Regions from separate parts of the Mus musculus genome. Here regions 1, 2 and 4 are each reported to be linked to region 3. Evidence: microRNA targets listed by miRTarBase, many of them from high-throughput screens and not tested one by one. Region 3 holds a microRNA gene; each other region holds the end of a gene's coding sequence.
Evidence for each region. The annotated mature microRNA mmu-miR-3097-3p reads CUCAGACCUUUCUACCUGUCAG and lies in region 3 at 1,947-1,968, opposite strand. An mRNA with a match to its seed (bases 2 to 7 or 8) in the 3' UTR can be bound and repressed. Matches are read on the target gene's strand: a 7mer-m8 pairs with bases 2 to 8, a 7mer-A1 pairs with bases 2 to 7 and ends in A, and an 8mer does both.

Region 1 (4,000 bases), not on the chromosome of region 3:
GGGTACATCCCAAGCCCTAACTATGCCTCCTAACTTTAAAACTACTCCACCAATTTTTCTCAAACAAAGTCAAAGTACCATGTATTACCAACTGCTGTAGCACTGTTTCTCAGACTCCTGAGTCACAGGTCACTTAGATCAGGGCAGGTAAGACCCAACAGCAGCCAGAGTGGCTTTCCTTCTTCCCACAGGACAGCACACAAAGGGTGGAGAACCAAGTTTTCCACATGTGGCGCTTCTACAACTATGCCAGGATGAGAAAAGTGGCTGACTTCTTCCTCCTGCAGTCTAACTACACCTATGTGAACTGGTGGTCCACAGCTCAGAGCCTTGCTATTGTTCTTTCCGGGGCCCTCCAGCTCTATTTCTTGAAAAGACTTTTTACTGCTTCAACTACTGACACAAAGAAGCCAAGATGCTAACATATAGCCTATTTGTCAAAGCTTTGATCAAATGGGCTTTGGAAAGTTATTGGGGGGGGGGTCAACTTATGTCCCCTTTCTCTTGTGTCCACCAATAAAGGCAAATGTTTAACAAAAAGTGAGTTCTGCTGCTGATCATTCTAAAATACGAATTAAGTGCTAAAAGCTAAAAGTACTGTTTATCTGAGGCAGGGTTTCAATATGTAGCCTTGGCTACTAGAACTTGCCGGGTAGACCCAACTCACCCCAAACTAAAGAGATTCTGCATCCCCACTGCTGGCAAGGTGTGTAACCCCATCCGCAGCCTAGAAACATCTTTATCCAGCTGTCCCTCAGCCTTCACTGACGCACGCCTTTAATCCCAGCAGAGGCAGGCGGATTTCTGAGTTCGAGGCCAGCCTGGTCTACAGAGTGAGTTCCAGGACAGCCAGGGCTACACAGAGAAACCCTGGAAGTGGGTTCAAGGATGAAGCTCCCTTCAGTAAGAGCACCTGCTTTGTATGCAGTTTGGGCCTCGATCCCTGGCACCACAGAAATCAGGGTGGTGGCTCTCAAATCTGAACTCTAGCACTGCAGAGGAAGCACTAAGATCAGCCTTAGGCAGTTCAAGACCATATCTCAAAGTACGTTAAAAGCTCTGAAAGAGTTGATACGGAGACAACTTTTTGGAGTTTAAAAAATTTTAATCCATTGTAGAGGACTACAAAGGTCAGCAATGTCCCCACCTTCAACCTTGTCCCAGGGATTGAACACAGCATCAGGCTTGGTGGCACATGGCTGATCCACCCTACCAGGCTGTCCACTGAGCTATCTTCTTGGCCTGTAGTGCCCTTCAACGGTTGGAAATATTTTACTTTATTTAAAAGATGTTACCATTGGAAACTGGTGTGGCGACAGACCTATAATACCATTACCTGAGAGGCTAAGACAGCCTGGGTCCCATAGCATTTCAGACCAACTTAGATATAATGTGACAAATGTCTCAAAAAATAAAAATGCCCCCTAAAACTGACATAACCTGATCATATCTTAAGAAACTGTTCTGCCGGGTGTGGTGGTGCATGCCTTTAATCCCAGCACTCGGGAGGCAGAGGCAGGTGGATTTCTGAGTTCGAGGCCAGCCTGGTCTACAAAGTGAGTTCCAGGACTGCCAGGGCTATACAGAGAAACCCTGTCTCAAAAAAAAAGAAAAAGAAATTGTTCTGAAGTTAGGCATGGTGGGGCACATTTTTTAAGGCCAGTATTTTGGAGGCAAACAGATCTCTGAGTTTGAGGCCAGCCTGGTCTACAGAATGAGTTCCAGGACAGTCAGGGCTACAGAGAAACCCTGTCTCAAAAGAACAAACAAAAACAAAACAAACAAAAAAAACAAACAAAAACAAAAAAAAAAGGGAGGTGGGGGAATTGAGCCTGGTATGGTAGTATACCCATTTAATCTCAGCACTTCAGAATCAATGGATCCTTGAGTTTGAGGCCAGCCTGGGTACATTCTAAGCAGAGATACATAGTCAGAACTTGTTTCAATTAAAAAAAAAAAAAAGTAACAAAATCATTTTAACACAGACAGGGAAGATGGCTCAGCAGTTCAGAAAGAACATTCTCTTTTAGAGGACTGAAGTTTGGTTCCCAACACCAACAATGGCCAGCTCACAACTGTCCTTACCTCAGGCTCCAAGGAATCCCAAGTGTTTTCTGCCCTCTGAGGATACCGCTACCCAAGCAGGATATACTCACACAGACACGCACGAACAATTTCCTGTTTTGAGACAGGATAACTCTATCCCATGCAGGATGCTTTACAACTGCTATTTTTTATTTATTTATTATATGTAAGTAAGTACACTGTAGCTGTCTTCAGACACTCCAGAAGAGGGAGTCAGATCTTGTTACGGATGGTTGTGAGCCACCATGTGGTTGCTGGGGTTTGAACTCCGGACCTTTGGAAGAGCAGTCGGGTGCTCTTACCCACTGAGCCATCTCACCAGCCCCTACAACTGCTATTTTTAATTCTGAATATCACTGTTACACTGATGACTGGAGGTGTTTTTTCAGTTTTGTGGGTTTTGGGTTTAAGACTGGCCAGGATCTCCTTATGTAGACCAGGCTGGCCTTGAACCTATAGAGCTCCATCTGCCTTTGCCTCACCCTCAAGCCCCCGTGCTGTAACTAAAGATATGCACCACCATACGGCAGGGTCATGGGTTTTTTCTTTTAACAAAGGAAGAAAATGAAGCCTCTCTAAGCAGAGAACTTGTCCACCACCACAGCTGGCAAGGGGCAGAACTGAGGCTTGAATACAGACGCTTCCACGCTATACCCCACTTAACACCAAGAAAAATAGCCAAAATGCACCTATTAAATTTATTAGGATAGCTTAGTGGTTAAGACCACTGCTGTCCCTGCAGAGGACCTGAGTTTAATTTCTGGCACCTATACGGTGGCTCACAACCAGTAACTCTAGTTCCAGGTCTGAAATCACCTTGACTTCCTTAGGCACCAGGCACATAAGCAGTGCACATACGTACATGCCAACAAAACACTCACACATATGAAATAACAAATATAAAACCATTAAAATTTATTAAATTCCATATGTAAAACCAGAGGCTCATATGGCCGTTTCTACCTTTAACATTAACACACAATAGAAAGTCCACTGTGCTATCATGAGCCTGGAAAACAGTGTTATCACAGATAACAGTAAGATGGCTCCTGTCCTCAGTGAAGTAACTTAGAAACCATCACTCAGAGCAAGTCTTCTGATCCAAACAAAGACGACGCAGACACAAAACAGAAACACTCTATTTACTCACACAAAACACTCTCAGGTTCTGGTTTGTCTGTTTTAGATTTTTGAGACAAGGCTCACTATGTAGCCCAGGCTAGCCTTGAACTCTCCAAGTAGCCTGAGCTGGCCTTATACTTGTGATCCACCTGCTTTTGACTCTAGAGGGCCAGAGACCCTGTTTTCACGCCATTTCTGTTGATAAGAACCCAAGTTGCGTATCTCAGTGTTGTCCAGATTTAATCTGATGGCCGCACACAGGAAACAAAGCTAAGTCCTCTCACACAGCAAAATGTTCTTGGAATGACCGTCCTAAGTCAGTGTCTCTTCATGGCGTACGTACTCCCCAATGTCTGCTTGGTGGAACACCACAATTGCCATGGGGTCCACTTTTCGGCAGTCTTGGGTAGACTTTGCTGCCACCCCAAAACCCTGGAATTGAAAGAACAGACATTCATTTATAAGGAAACAAAACAAAACAAAAACTATATTGAAACAGCTGTATCTTTGAGAACTGTGAAAGGAGCCAAGAAGTCAGTCTCCGAGCTGCTGACTGAAACTTCATCCTTTCCAGTGGGTACCTGGCATTTGCCGTGATGGATGGCTACCGTGGCTACTCACCAGAGGAATGTCCGCCATGGAATAGACAACCACTCCCTGGTACTGAGATGTGTTCTCAGTAATTCGACCCAGACCGGATTTCAACACATGGTTTCCATACAAGAAGGACTGCTCTGCTCCCGGCTTTACCCACACTTTATACTGAAAGAGAGTTAAAAGCCAAGACACAAGG
Region 2 (4,000 bases), not on the chromosome of region 3:
GTTAGGTTCCAAGCACGCAATTGACTGGTTCCCAACCACCTGTAATTCCAGCCTCAGGAGACACAGCTCCCTCTTCTGCCTTCATGGGGACCTGTAAGCACATACATGCATGCATTCATGTGTGCATATAGCAACACACACACACACACACACACACACACACACACACACAGTTAAACCAAAATCTTTATAGTATGTGTGCGTCATAAAGATGTACACTCAGAACTTGTTTTAGGATAAATATTATATCATTATGTGGAGTGTAAATTCCAAATGGTAACGTGACTAGTCAGCAGCGACATTTCAGAAGTCAGTGTGTGCACTGTTACTGTGAAAGTTGACTAAGGCGATGGATGCACTTGCTGAGTTGACGTGCTGCTCTCTGTCTCCCTCCCCAAAAACAGCAATCACTGAGGAGACACTCTGTGTCGGCTTAGCCAGAGTGGGAGCTGAAGATCAGAAAATTGCAGCAGGCACGTTACAGCAGATGTGCACAGTGAGCTTGGGAGAACCACTGCATTCTTTGGTCATTACAGGGGGCAACCTGCACCCACTGGAGATGGAGATGCTAAGTCTCTTCTCTATACCGGAATCCCAGAGTACTGATGGACTCTGAGCATGGACATTTTCTGTTGTCTCACGATCATTTCAGTGAGATTGGGGTGTGTGTGGTATTTATATGTCAAATGGCATGGCTCTGTCATTTATGAAGAAGATATAACCGAAGTGACCAAGAAGAAGCAGGTTGAACGACAGCGTTTGGTTTCCTGCGGCAGCTTCCCCCATTCCATCGTGAGTTTCCTACTCGTCAGGGTGCACACACGTGGGCAGATGGAGCTGAAAAAGGGAGCCAAGTCGATGCAAGGAGGTGGAGACCAAGAATAACGTGAGGAAACTGGACAATGAATCACTTGAACTCTGATTTTCAGGGACAAAGCAGCATGAATCAGCAAGAAAAGCAAATAAAAGATTGCTAACTCTTCATATATTGTTTTATAATCTCCTTTATAAAAGGTAGCTGTCAGGCTGGAGAGATGGCTCAGTGGTTAAGAGCACTGACTGCTCTTCCAGAGGTCCTGAGTTCAATTCCCAGCAACCACATGGTGGCTCACAACCATCTGTAATGGGATCTGATGCTCTCTTCTGGTGTGTCTGAAGACAGGTAATCGTGTATTCATATATATAAAATAAATAAATAAGTCTTTTTTTTTTTTTTTTTTAAAAAAAAGGTAGCAGTCAGCGACTGAGAACATACCTTATTTGGTGTAAAAATTCAAGTGTGGCAGTGTATGGCTGTAACCCTGATGCAGGGTGGGAGCAGGCAGATTCCCTGAAGCTTTCTGGTTAGTCTGTGTGTGCCTTATTCAATGTGAGACAGTTTCAAAAGATAAGGTGATAGCTGAGTGTGGTGACTCACTCCTTAAATCCCAGTACTCAGGAGGCAGAGGCAGGCGGATTTCTGAGTTTGAGGCCAGCCTGATCTACATAGCAAGTTCCAGACTACCTTATGAATAATAATAATAATAATAATAATAATAATAATAATAGTGGAACAGGATAGAGGAAGAGGATACCCAATGTTGATGTTTGTCATCGCACGTGCACACATGAATACACATTTACTAAATACCAATTTTAAAAGGCTCGTTTGTTTAATAGCCGTAAAGTGCTTTGCCTTTGCCCATCTGCAATAGAAGTAGCTTCATGACAGTCATGAGTATTTCCATAGCCTAATCAACTCCATCTTTTTGCTCAGTCTATTCATGAATATTGGTTGAAATTTTTTTCTACTTTCTGGTATTATATATGCATTAGCTAGAAAATATTTTGACATTTCATTTAGGATGAAATATTGTAATGTGTACAAAACATCCCATTTTCAAATTATTGTGCACACAAGAAGAAAGAGACAAGTAGCTTAAGGCAGTTCTATGTTGTTTTCTTCGGGGGTGTTAAACCAAACACTTAAATGTTTTAAATATAAAGGACTTGCAGGTTTGGTATTCGAATGGCACTCATTCCCTCCAGTTAAAAACTCTTTTACACTGCATGATTGTTGGAAGACACTGGGGAGCCAGAGGGCAGGCTGAGAACTTTGCCTATGTGGCTTTTCCTGTTGAGACTTTTCCAGACATTCAACCAAGCTAGTGTCCTACTGGCTTGAGATGGTTAGTGGATGGAACTGTGGGCTCCAAAGGGAGCTGGACACTGAAGAAGGAGCCCTTAGAAAGTAAGGTGCTCTGGAGTGGTGAGTCTTCTGACCTCTGTCCTACGTCCTCAGCTTACTCCTTACTTTCTGTATGTGTACAAAGAGCCACAGATCTAGGTGAAAAACCTGGCCAGGGGCTAAAGAAACAGACATTGCTCTCCATTGTGAGAGAAGACAGCTTCAAGCTTGAATTCTGACAAGTTAGGAGGGCTTGATAAGTATGCATGCTTTCCTTCAGAAACCCAGAATGACCGTGTACTAGTAAAGGCCGAGCCTGGAACTCAATTAAGGACAAAGTGTTTCATATAATGTGAAGTTCAGCCTCCATAGGATGAAGGTGGTAAGCAGTGGGTTAATGTCTACAAGGACAAAGTTTAAGATGGTTCAGAAAATGGTGACAGAAATTAGTATAGTATCAATAATAGCCTTAGAACAGAATATACGGTATGGCTTTATGACTAGAAAGGAAGAACACTGGGTGACAGAGATGTTAACATACCCTAGACTCTGCCACTTTAGAACTGTGCATGGATGGAAAGCAAAGGTGTTTTTATGAGTGCAGACAATGAGTCTTGTCATCCAAGAACAAAAAGAAAAAGCAAATTGGCCGAAGTACAGAGGAAGAGAAATTTTTCCAACCTGAGGAAGACTAAAATTAAAAAAAATTAATCAGAATTGTAATGTCATGGGGGCAAGATCAAGTCATTTTTAAAATCTCCACACTGGTGGACAGAAAATGACTGCATGTGTGTGTGCAAGTGCATGTGTGTGCACTCACGCATACACACGTGTGCATGTGCCAGTGCCTGTTTAGAGGTGACAGGACAGCTTCTAGAAGCAGGTTGTGGGGATTGAGCTCGGATTGTTAGGTTTGGCAGCGAGCACTTTTACCTGGTGACCCACCTCAGCAGCTCCAATATCAAACAGTTTTAAAAAGCATGTCGGGCCAGGCAGTGGTGGCGCACACCTTTAATCCCAGCACTTGGGAGGCAGAGGCAGGCGGATTTCTGAGTTCGAGGCCAGCTTGGTCTACAGAGTGAGTTCCAGGACAGCCAGCAGGGCTCTACAGAGAAACCCTGTTTTGAAAAACCAAAACCAAACAAACAAAAACCAAAAGCATGTCGGTAATGAGATGTGAGAGCGAGGGAGGGAGCAGAGTAGAGCAGAGCAGAGCAGGTAGAAATGACAGCTAAAATTTCCTCATTTGGTAAACATCAATACATTGATCCAATATACTCAGTGAACTACAAGCAAAATAAGTAGGAAATTCATACCTGTCAGTTAAAACTGAGAAAAGTCAAAGTTAGCTGGAAAGCAAGCAAAAATGCTTGTAGGATTAGAGCTTACCAAATGTAATTTGAAATTAAAATTTAGGTTTGTTTGTTTGTTTGTTTCTCAGCTTGGCAAACCTGCATGTAATTTAACCTCAATGTAAATGAGTTAAAGAATGAAAACTTCACCAGTACTAAGAGATGATCAGTGCTGGAGTCCCAGGGTTGAGACAGAGACCGGAGAAAGGAGTGCACATTTGGTGTTTCTTTAGCAGTTGAGCTCTTTATTGGCTTTGGCTGTCTTGAAGTTTGGTCTCGATTTGCTTTGGCTCTTGCAGTGCCGGGGTAAAGGAAGTTAGATCACACAGCTTTGGCCTTGTGTGTGTTAGGCACGGATTTTACCATGCTGTTGCCCATAGCTAGGTGTCAATGTATCAACAGAAAGATTCAGTGAATCGCCTTGATAGTAACACTGCTGTCACCAAGAATTCCTTCTCTCTGTCCCTTTGCCCGTTGCCCT
Region 3 (4,248 bases):
CAGGGATCGTCCTGATTTTGATTTTCCACTTAACTGTCACCAAATAGAAACATCAGTTAAGACACTAAAGGGGCTCAACACAGAGCTCTATGAGTAAGGATTCTGAGGAATCAGGTAGAATCTTCAGTGGGTCAAGGGCACAGTCCTCTCTTTCACCACCGAGGTAGCCAGGGGTTAGGGGATCAGGAAAGGGTTCAGGAGTATCTGTGTCCTACAGGCCCCACCTTCTGCTGGTGACAGGATGTGTGGTTACAGCCTTACTCTCACCCCCACAAGGGCTAGCCCAGCACCTTTTTTGGTGTGGACACATTGGAGTGGTCAGAGCTGATGCTGTGCTTGGAAGCTGGGCTGCTGGGGACCTGCTGAGAGTCCGGGAGGGTACGTCCCTCCACCTCTGCCAGGACGCATTCTTGGTACAGCTGGGATTTCAGAAAGCGAGTGTAGCTATCAAACTTCATCAGGTTGAAAATCTGTGGAGCAGATGCCATGCAGTATAGTCACAGAAAGAACGGTAACTCCTTAGGTCCTAGGCGGTATAGGAGGTCTGTACCCATGAATGAGTGACATTTTGGAAGGGTGTCATTCCTGCCAACCCTCCCTTGGGCCCCAGGGCACTCAGATGTTAATTAACTCTCCAGGGACCCTTCTGATCCCTGTCAACAGCCTCTCCTTTGTCACTCTTAGTAAGAGCAGAGTCATAGGCATAGGCACAGCCAGAAGGGCAGGCAGACTCAAGACTGTGGCTGCACCCTTAGCAGGCCTTCACTTCCTAGGAACTTGGAAGGCAGTTGTCTCAAGGGTAAGTGAGGCCTGGGGAAGCTCTGCTCTGTTTTAAGCTAATTCCTGCAACCTAGCGGCACAGCAGCTGGCAGGGCTGGGAAGTGTGTTCTGGACGGGTCAGATCACATGCTCTTCCAGAATTAAGACACAAACATGTAAACAGGGTTCCATGTGCATCCTGTGATCCGGCAGAGGCTGAGGCACGAGTATGTGAGCTTCATGTCAATGGTGGTGAAATTACACAGTGAGATCCTGTCTCAAATGACAATTGCTGCTACTGCTACTAAGCACGTAAACATGTAAGTATACAGACAGGTCCACAGCATTCTGGATGTACACTAGTGTGGCAGCGACGTGTGCTCATAGAAAGCTTTCTCTGGGCTGGGATAATGCAGTTATCATCCGCTCTCAAATGCTGGAAGTGACACCGAACTTGCTCAGAGTCAGCCCTGCAATCATCAAAGACCACTGACCTTCCATAATGTGCTGTTGTGGCCACGCTGTAGCTGTCATGTTCTGTAGGTCAAGTGTGTCCAATGTGCATACAATTTTTTTATACTTATTTATTCATTTACTTATTTAGTGAGAGAGAGAGAGAGAGAGAGAGAGTGTGTGTGTGTGTGTTGTACACCCACCATGGTCCGTGTCTAAAGAGTACAACTTATAGAAGTTGATTCTCTCCTTTCACTATGTGGGTCCCAATGATCAAACTCAGGTTGTCAGGTTTGGCGGCAAGAGCCTTTATCTGCTGAGCAGTCTCACCAGCCCCATAGACTTTTGAAAAGTAATATTGTCCCTTACTTCGGTTGACAGTGGGTACATGGGGCTATCTGTGGCAAAGGCTTTATTGTTCCTCAGATCTACTGAATCCTTTTGAGACTGGAGCCCAGTGGTCAGATGGGCTTGTCACCATGCCCACATGACCAGCAGCCCCCTTCCCAGAAGGGCACGTGCTACTCTGAGTGACTCTGCACCCCCAAGCCTTGGCTGGAAGCCCCATGGAAGACTGTCTGCAAAGTCACCTGGAGCTGTTGTTCCTTGAACATGTCAGGGTGGGGTGCATTGAGAATGTCATCTGCCAGCTGGGCCTGGCTGTCAATGTTGACAGGAGTGGTGGCTTTGCTGCACAGGAATTTACTGAAAATCTCCCGGGCCCTGTAAGAGAGCTGACAGGTAGAAAGGTCTGAGCAGATCTGTAGACACACCCACTGGACACACACTTCCCACCTGTGTCACTCAAACATTCCTAAGGCTGACTCTGCTTCGGGGCTGGAGAGCTGAGTCACAGGCCCTGTCTATAGTCTGGCTTATGAAAGTAAATATAAAAGAAAGAGCCAGGAGGAAACTCCTGAATCGGCTCCTCTACAAATTTCTAAATGGCTGCAAATTTCTAAATGGCTGCTTTGTAAGGGCCTCAGAGGAGGATCTGCCAGCAAAGTGTGCACGACAGGGGAGGGCAAAAGTGCACAATGCTCAGAGCACAAGACACAGGCATGAGGCCACTCTGTGAGGACAGCTGTTACTTTGGGGGAAAGGCCACAGGACATGGCCTGGGCAGTCCTGGGGCAGCTAGACAGGTGCTGTTAAGCCACAGGTAGAGGCTGCAGTTTGCCAGAGTGCTTCTCCAAGTCTCTTCAAACACTGTTCCTTCTTACCCAACCCAACGTCAAGTGCCACCACTGCCAGGCTCTGTGGCGAGGCATTTATGCAGACTATGTTTAGGCAGAATTAAATGTCACACACTTAAGTTTTTATGCTGAAGCAGAAATGTCACCGTTCTTTAAAGTCAGTAAGAAGCATCCCTCATCGACTGCTCAAGCAACCCTTGATGTAACCTCGGTCCTCACACAGCCCCTGCTCTGAAGAGCAGTTTACCTCTTTTTTGTCATGTGCAGGAACATGACTGAAGCACTCACAGGCCTGCCAGAATAAAATGTTCTCTTCACTGAATTCCTTACGTAGAAAATCCTGAGGGAACACAGGAAGGAGAGCAGTTGTCACTCCACAACCCCTCTATGAAGCTGAGCCCCATATCCCCGGCCCTCTTTGTCTACACCATGGCAGGAAAGGAGCCTCGCAGGGGCCTTGAAAGCAGGCATAGGGGCTGCGCAGCACACGTGAGTGGGCGGGCCATCTGCCTCACAGCTCTTTTCTCAAGGGCTGGTCATCTTTTTTTTTTTTTTTAAAGAAATATATTTTTAGTCTCTGGTTAGCATATAAAATATGACATCATATCACTGACACTATTATCACGTGCTGCTCGTAATCACTCTTTCACAGCTCCATCCCTACTTCTGGATCCTTAAGAGCTGTATTTGTCAGCATGCATTTCCAAGAATTTTGAAGAAGCTCCAGCTAGGATGATGTCATACAACTGTAATCCTAGTACTCAGAAGGATAAGGCAGGGGGATTATGAGTTCCAAACCAGACTGACTAACATAGTGAAATCCAGTCTCAAAACAAACAAAAAAAACAAACACACAGAGCCAAGACACTCTGATGTTCCTTGCTGCACAGACATCGAGAGAGTGAGAGGGAAGTGTGCCGGCAGGGAACTCCAGGGCAGGAGGCAGGCCAGGAAGGGAAAACAGAACTGCCAGCCCCTACAAGTGTACACGCTACCTACCCCATCCTTGAGCTTGGAGCAGGTGCTGGACGACCACACCTCTAACAAGGTGATGCCCAGGCTCTGAGGTCTGAGATGGCCCCGTGAGCTCAAGCACCCGGGCTCAAAGTGCTGCCACCCCACAGCAGTCCCCCTTACTCACAGAGAAGTAGCGAACACCAACAGGATCCTGAAGGAGACGCTCAAATGACACTGCCCAGCTTGCAACTCTCCTCTCTCGTAGGCGCCGGCAGCTCTGCACACTGGGGAGGCTGGCATTGCTGCTCAGGCTGTTGTTGCTGATGCAGTCCTTAAGGTCAGCTCCAGTCAACTCTGCAGGATCATCACAGACATACCTGCACCTCGGAGGCCACAGGTACCTATATCCAGCTCTACTTCCCACAACCCATGTTGTTCACTGAGCAACATGTACTGCACCTGAAACCTAGCCAAGGCTTTCTAGACTTCAGAAAAGAACACATCTCAACTTCCCAGGGCTGAACAAGAGAAGCTATTGCCTAAGGTGTGCATACAACACAGAGCAGAAAGAATGATGCTGAGCATACGGAAGGCGGGAAGGCATTTATAAGTGCACCACAAAGCAAAAGCCCCTGAGTGAAGTCTGAGGAGGGGCTGCAGTTGGTCCCATCACCCTCCTGGTGCTGTCTGCTGCAATTTGGATCCATGGCTCATTGCCTGTGCACTTTTCTGTGTGCAGATCACTTTTCAGTGACGATATTAAGCCACACTATCCAAACTGAGTATTTAACCATGTGTCATCTGGTAGCTCATTCACTGATGACCCGATACAGGAAAATATTACAACAAAGAAAAGGAGATGTGTCTAGGAAGACCCCATCTA
Region 4 (4,000 bases), not on the chromosome of region 3:
CATTGCTAAAGTGGAAGAGCTGAAGAAAAAGGAGCCATGCTAAGAGCATTTTGGCAGACACAAGGAAGTAGCATGGCTCCACTGGTAGGGGACGGGTTTAAGATTCCTGATGGCTGAAACACACTGAAAGGGTAGCAGCGTTAGCAGAAACACCAATAAATCATTCAAACTGCATGAGAGTGGAGTCTGTGGCAAAAGAGAAACTTTGAGGGTCCTGGAGAAGTATTTAGATGTGTAGAAGCCTCTCTCTGCTGGGTGAAACTCCATTAATCTGCCTTTCTGTGGTCTGACTGGCATTAATAGTCTTCCCAGTTCCACAATGTGTGTGGATATTTGGCAGAAGAGCAAAGAGGTGGGGTGAATCATGCTATTAAAATAACCAGGGGTGGGGGCTTGGATCTGTATTATCAGGGGTTATCAACACACCAAGAACCCAACAGTACAGAGGAGAAAGGGGCTCTGCCTTCTAAAGAGCTAAAGACAAATAGAAAAGCCCTCACCTAGAACACAGGTCCAGAGAAGTTAGGATTTTGATGGAACTCAAACTTTGAGTGACATGGTGAAGTGGGTCATGCATCACGCACAGCAGCTGAGGGACAGGGAAGAAGGGTGGCCTCAGCATCTCAGTGCCTGAAAGAATCACCTAAGCCTTAGCAACCTAAATGTTCTTAACCTAGGTTTCTGCTTGGGGCCCAGTGATGGACGGACACACACATGCACACGCACATGAACGTACGCACGTGTGGCTCATGTAAGTGCCGGTGTCCATCACTACAGAGGCATCAGTGTGCTAAAATTGTGCCCAGAAGTTGGCAAATGAAGTGTTAAAGTAGAATTCTTAACTTCGTGGTAGCATGGTAGTATGTGTCTTGTCTGAAGCAAGCAGTACTTGCCTGGCACCAGGGTTTGCTCTCTAGCAAATCTGGTCATATAACAGCAAGTTTCTCTAGGCAGTTGGGTGGGGGGTGGGAGCTATACTTTGTTTTATGAGATAGGACTTGGCTGATCTGGATTCACTCTATAAACCAGGCTGGCCATCAGGGATCCATCTGATTCTTCCTCCTGAGTGCTGCATTTAAAGTATGAGCCACCATGATGGCTATAAAGTTTATTGTTTATCATTACATTTTTTTTATTGTGTGCACTGTGTGTGTGGGTGTGAGGGTGCCAAGTGTGCATGTGAAGGTCAGAACACAATTCAGAGTTGGTTCTCTCCAACTTTTACATGGGTTCACAGGATCAAACTCAGGCTGCTAGGCTTTCCTGGAAAGCATCTTTACCTACAGGGCTCTTTGTGGGCCCTATGATGGCCATTTTCTCTCTCTCAGTGATGCAGATATAGGCCAGACTAGACCAGATTAAAAGATTGTAGGGAATTGGCTCTAATGCTTTGTTTTAATTCATCTCCCCAAAGCCTTATTTCCAAATGCTGAGGGTCCCTGCCCCCAGGTGTCTTTGATCAGTACTAAAAAACTGCCATACAGCCAATGACTGGGCAAGGGGCAGAAGGAGATGAAGAGCAGGCAGATTCTCCATGACTTAGAAGCAGAGAGATTAAAGAGCTGCAGGAAAGAAATCATCCAGCAATGTAGGTGTAAAGGGAAAGCCACCCCAATGGAGGCTACCAAGAAGGAAACAGGGCCGCAAAAATAAAATATTGATTTAGAAGGTATTAACTCAGGAATGCCAGAGGGGAGTCTGTGCTAGCTGAGGGGAGGTTTGGAAGTGCCCGGCCACTGAGCAAGTTAGGCATATTAAAAATTAAGCTGGCATGTGTGCGTGCGTGCATGCCTTTGTGTCTTTGATTCTCAAATTCTTGAATTTAGAACACTCTGGCAGGTGGCTAAAGGCTGGATCACCCGCCAGAAGGGTGCTCAAAGCAGTTTACCTATTCACCATTATGGTTGATAAAGGCAGGTTTATTAGGAGGCAGCTCTTGGGTGGGTTCACTGACCTCACAGGATCAGTGAAGTCACACATGCAGGCTAAAGCAAGGGGTTTTTACAGAGTTTAGGTGAGGGGTGATGATGTGCCAGCTAGGAGTTGGATTCTGTCCATACATAGCCAAAAAATTCTTTGAAACATCAAGCCTGGTGTCTGATTTAGGAGTTCTACTGCTGTGAAGAGACACCATGATCACAGCAACTCTTTTTTTTTTTTTTTTTAAGGTTCTTTTCAGATTTATTTATTTATTACATGTAAGTACACCGTAGCTGTCTTCAGACACACCAGAAGAGGGAGTCAGATCTTGTTACGGATGGTTGTGAGCCACCACGTGGTTGCTGGGATTTGAACTAAGGACCTTTGGAAGAGCAGTCGGGTGCTCTTACCTGCTGAGCCATCTCGCCAGCCCCACAGCAACTCTTAAAATGGCATTTAATTGGGCCTAGCTTACAGTTTCAGAAGGTCAGTCCATTATCATTATGGTTGGAAACATGGCATTATGCAAGTGGACTTGGTACTGAAGGAGCCAAAAGTTTGACATCTTAATCGAAAACCAGCCAGGAGGAGACTGCTACATTGTCCAGACTTGAGCACATATAAGAGATCTCCACAGTGACACAGTTCCTCTAACAATGCTACACCTCCTCCAATAAGGCCACACCTCCAATAGTGCCACTTTCCATGGGCCAACCATGTTCAATCCACCACATGGAATAGTGGCCCACATCTATAGTCCTAACACTGGAGGCTGAAGCAGGACAAACATTCAAAACCACTGGGTACAGTATCCTGTGCATTTGATCTCAGCAAGAGGCAGGGGTGGGTTGGTCTCTTGAGTTTGAGACCAATCTAGCCTACCGAGTTCCAGTTACGAAGTTAAAAGCTGCCTTGAGTTACATGGTGAATTAATAGGTTACCCAGAGCTATCAGGTGAGACTGTCTCAGAAAGCCAATGGGAAAAGTTTCTAAACGTCAAGACCTTCTGTGGTAAGATAACAGAACAGAATCTTACCATCGGGTCCTGGAAATGAGTACTCTAAGCAGTAGATTTAGCTTTTGTTTTTTTTTTGTTTGTTTGTTTGTTTTGAGACAGGGTCTCTATAGTCCTGGCTGGCCTCTAACTCAGACACTCTCCTGTCTCTGTATCCCAAGTGCTGGGATTAAAGGCGTGCACCCCCATGCCTAGCTGGTTTGGCTTCATTCTGACATTTGTTTCAATAGTATCTACATGATTAACAGGTAATCAGATTTTCCTCCAGCCCCAACCAAGAGTAATATTCCATATAGTTGTCTCAGTCTGGACAATAAATTTGTTACCAAATTTAATACAATTACACACAGTAGGAATTTGCCTCTACCAAGAGTGATAAAAATATTTCATTTCTAAAAACAGAGCTTTGAAGAGTGAAACTACTGCACAGACCTCCTATGCAGGACACAGCCAAGTGGTGGGAGCATTTCTCAAAACATAAGTGCCAGACTGATAACAGACTGGACTGGAGATGTAAGTGCTCTTCATGTGTCTTCCACTAACCCGAAGCCTTTGGTTTATTCCTCGTAGCAAACCACTCGTCACTTTTGTCTGCTTCCATTGCCTAGGAAACAGAGGGACAAATGTTACTCCAAGTCTGCATTCTCCACCGTGCATTAATGCTAAAGCAGTCCATCTGTGTGGAGAATGTTGTTCACTCACAGGAGAGCTGGTGAGCAGCAAACAGTTGCTTGGTGATTTGCACAGCTGGCCAGAGAGCCTGGCCGCTGATGAAAGACCAGGGACTGTGCAACTACCGAGTCCTTGGCAGAACAGGAACCCTCAATGCTCATGAGCTTAATCTGAGACCAAACAAAATGAATGCAGCCCAGTGGTGGAATACTGACCTTCAGTTCACACCCCAGTACCACCACCAAAAATAGTATTTGAGACAGCCAGGCAAACACTTTATTCCCAGCACTCAGGAGGCAGAAGTAGGGAGATCTCTGAGTTTGAGGCCAGCCTGACCTACAGACCAAGTTTCAGGACAGCCAGAGATACACAGAAAAATCAATTCTTAAAAAT

Region 1: miRTarBase lists Nip7 as a target of mmu-miR-3097-3p. Seed matches in the 3' UTR shown: 7mer-A1 at 2,276-2,282 and 8mer at 1,371-1,378.
Region 2: the mRNA of Dph5 is a reported target of mmu-miR-3097-3p. Seed matches in the 3' UTR shown: 7mer-A1 at 1,151-1,157.
Region 4: miRTarBase lists Glod4 as a target of mmu-miR-3097-3p. Seed matches in the 3' UTR shown: 7mer-A1 at 2,219-2,225.

What each region holds. Positions count from the first base shown.
Region 1 is chr8:107,058,016-107,062,015 of GRCm38, reverse strand. It overlaps Nip7 (NIP7, nucleolar pre-rRNA processing protein), which reads right to left. Exons shown (of 5, transcript NM_025391.2): 4 at 3,829-3,969; 5 at 1,085-3,639. The coding sequence ends at 3,520. It overlaps Tmed6 (transmembrane p24 trafficking protein 6), which reads left to right. Exons shown (of 4, transcript NM_025458.2): 4 at 192-532. The coding sequence ends at 422. Among named protein-coding and RNA genes, the nearest start is that of Nip7, 3.1 kb to the right of the region's middle.
Region 2 is chr3:115,928,105-115,932,104 of GRCm38, forward strand. Dph5 (diphthamide biosynthesis 5) reads left to right here. Exons shown (of 8, transcript NM_027193.2): 8 at 405-1,219. The coding sequence ends at 616. Among named protein-coding and RNA genes, the nearest start is that of Dph5, 42 kb to the left of the region's middle.
Region 3 is chr5:35,018,814-35,023,061 of GRCm38, reverse strand. Mir3097 (microRNA 3097) reads right to left here and starts at 2,013; the gene lies at 1,947-2,013. It overlaps Rgs12 (regulator of G-protein signaling 12), which reads right to left. Exons shown (of 17, transcript NM_173402.2): 5 at 3,550-3,719; 6 at 2,656-2,748; 7 at 1,803-1,946; 8 at 291-470; 9 at 1-33.
Region 4 is chr11:76,218,493-76,222,492 of GRCm38, forward strand. It overlaps Glod4 (glyoxalase domain containing 4), which reads right to left. Exons shown (of 9, transcript NM_026029.3): 9 at 1,903-3,539. The coding sequence ends at 3,474. Dbil5 (diazepam binding inhibitor-like 5) reads left to right here. Exons shown (of 2, transcript NM_021294.2): 2 at 1-173. The coding sequence ends at 43. Among named protein-coding and RNA genes, the nearest start is that of Dbil5, 2.9 kb to the left of the region's middle.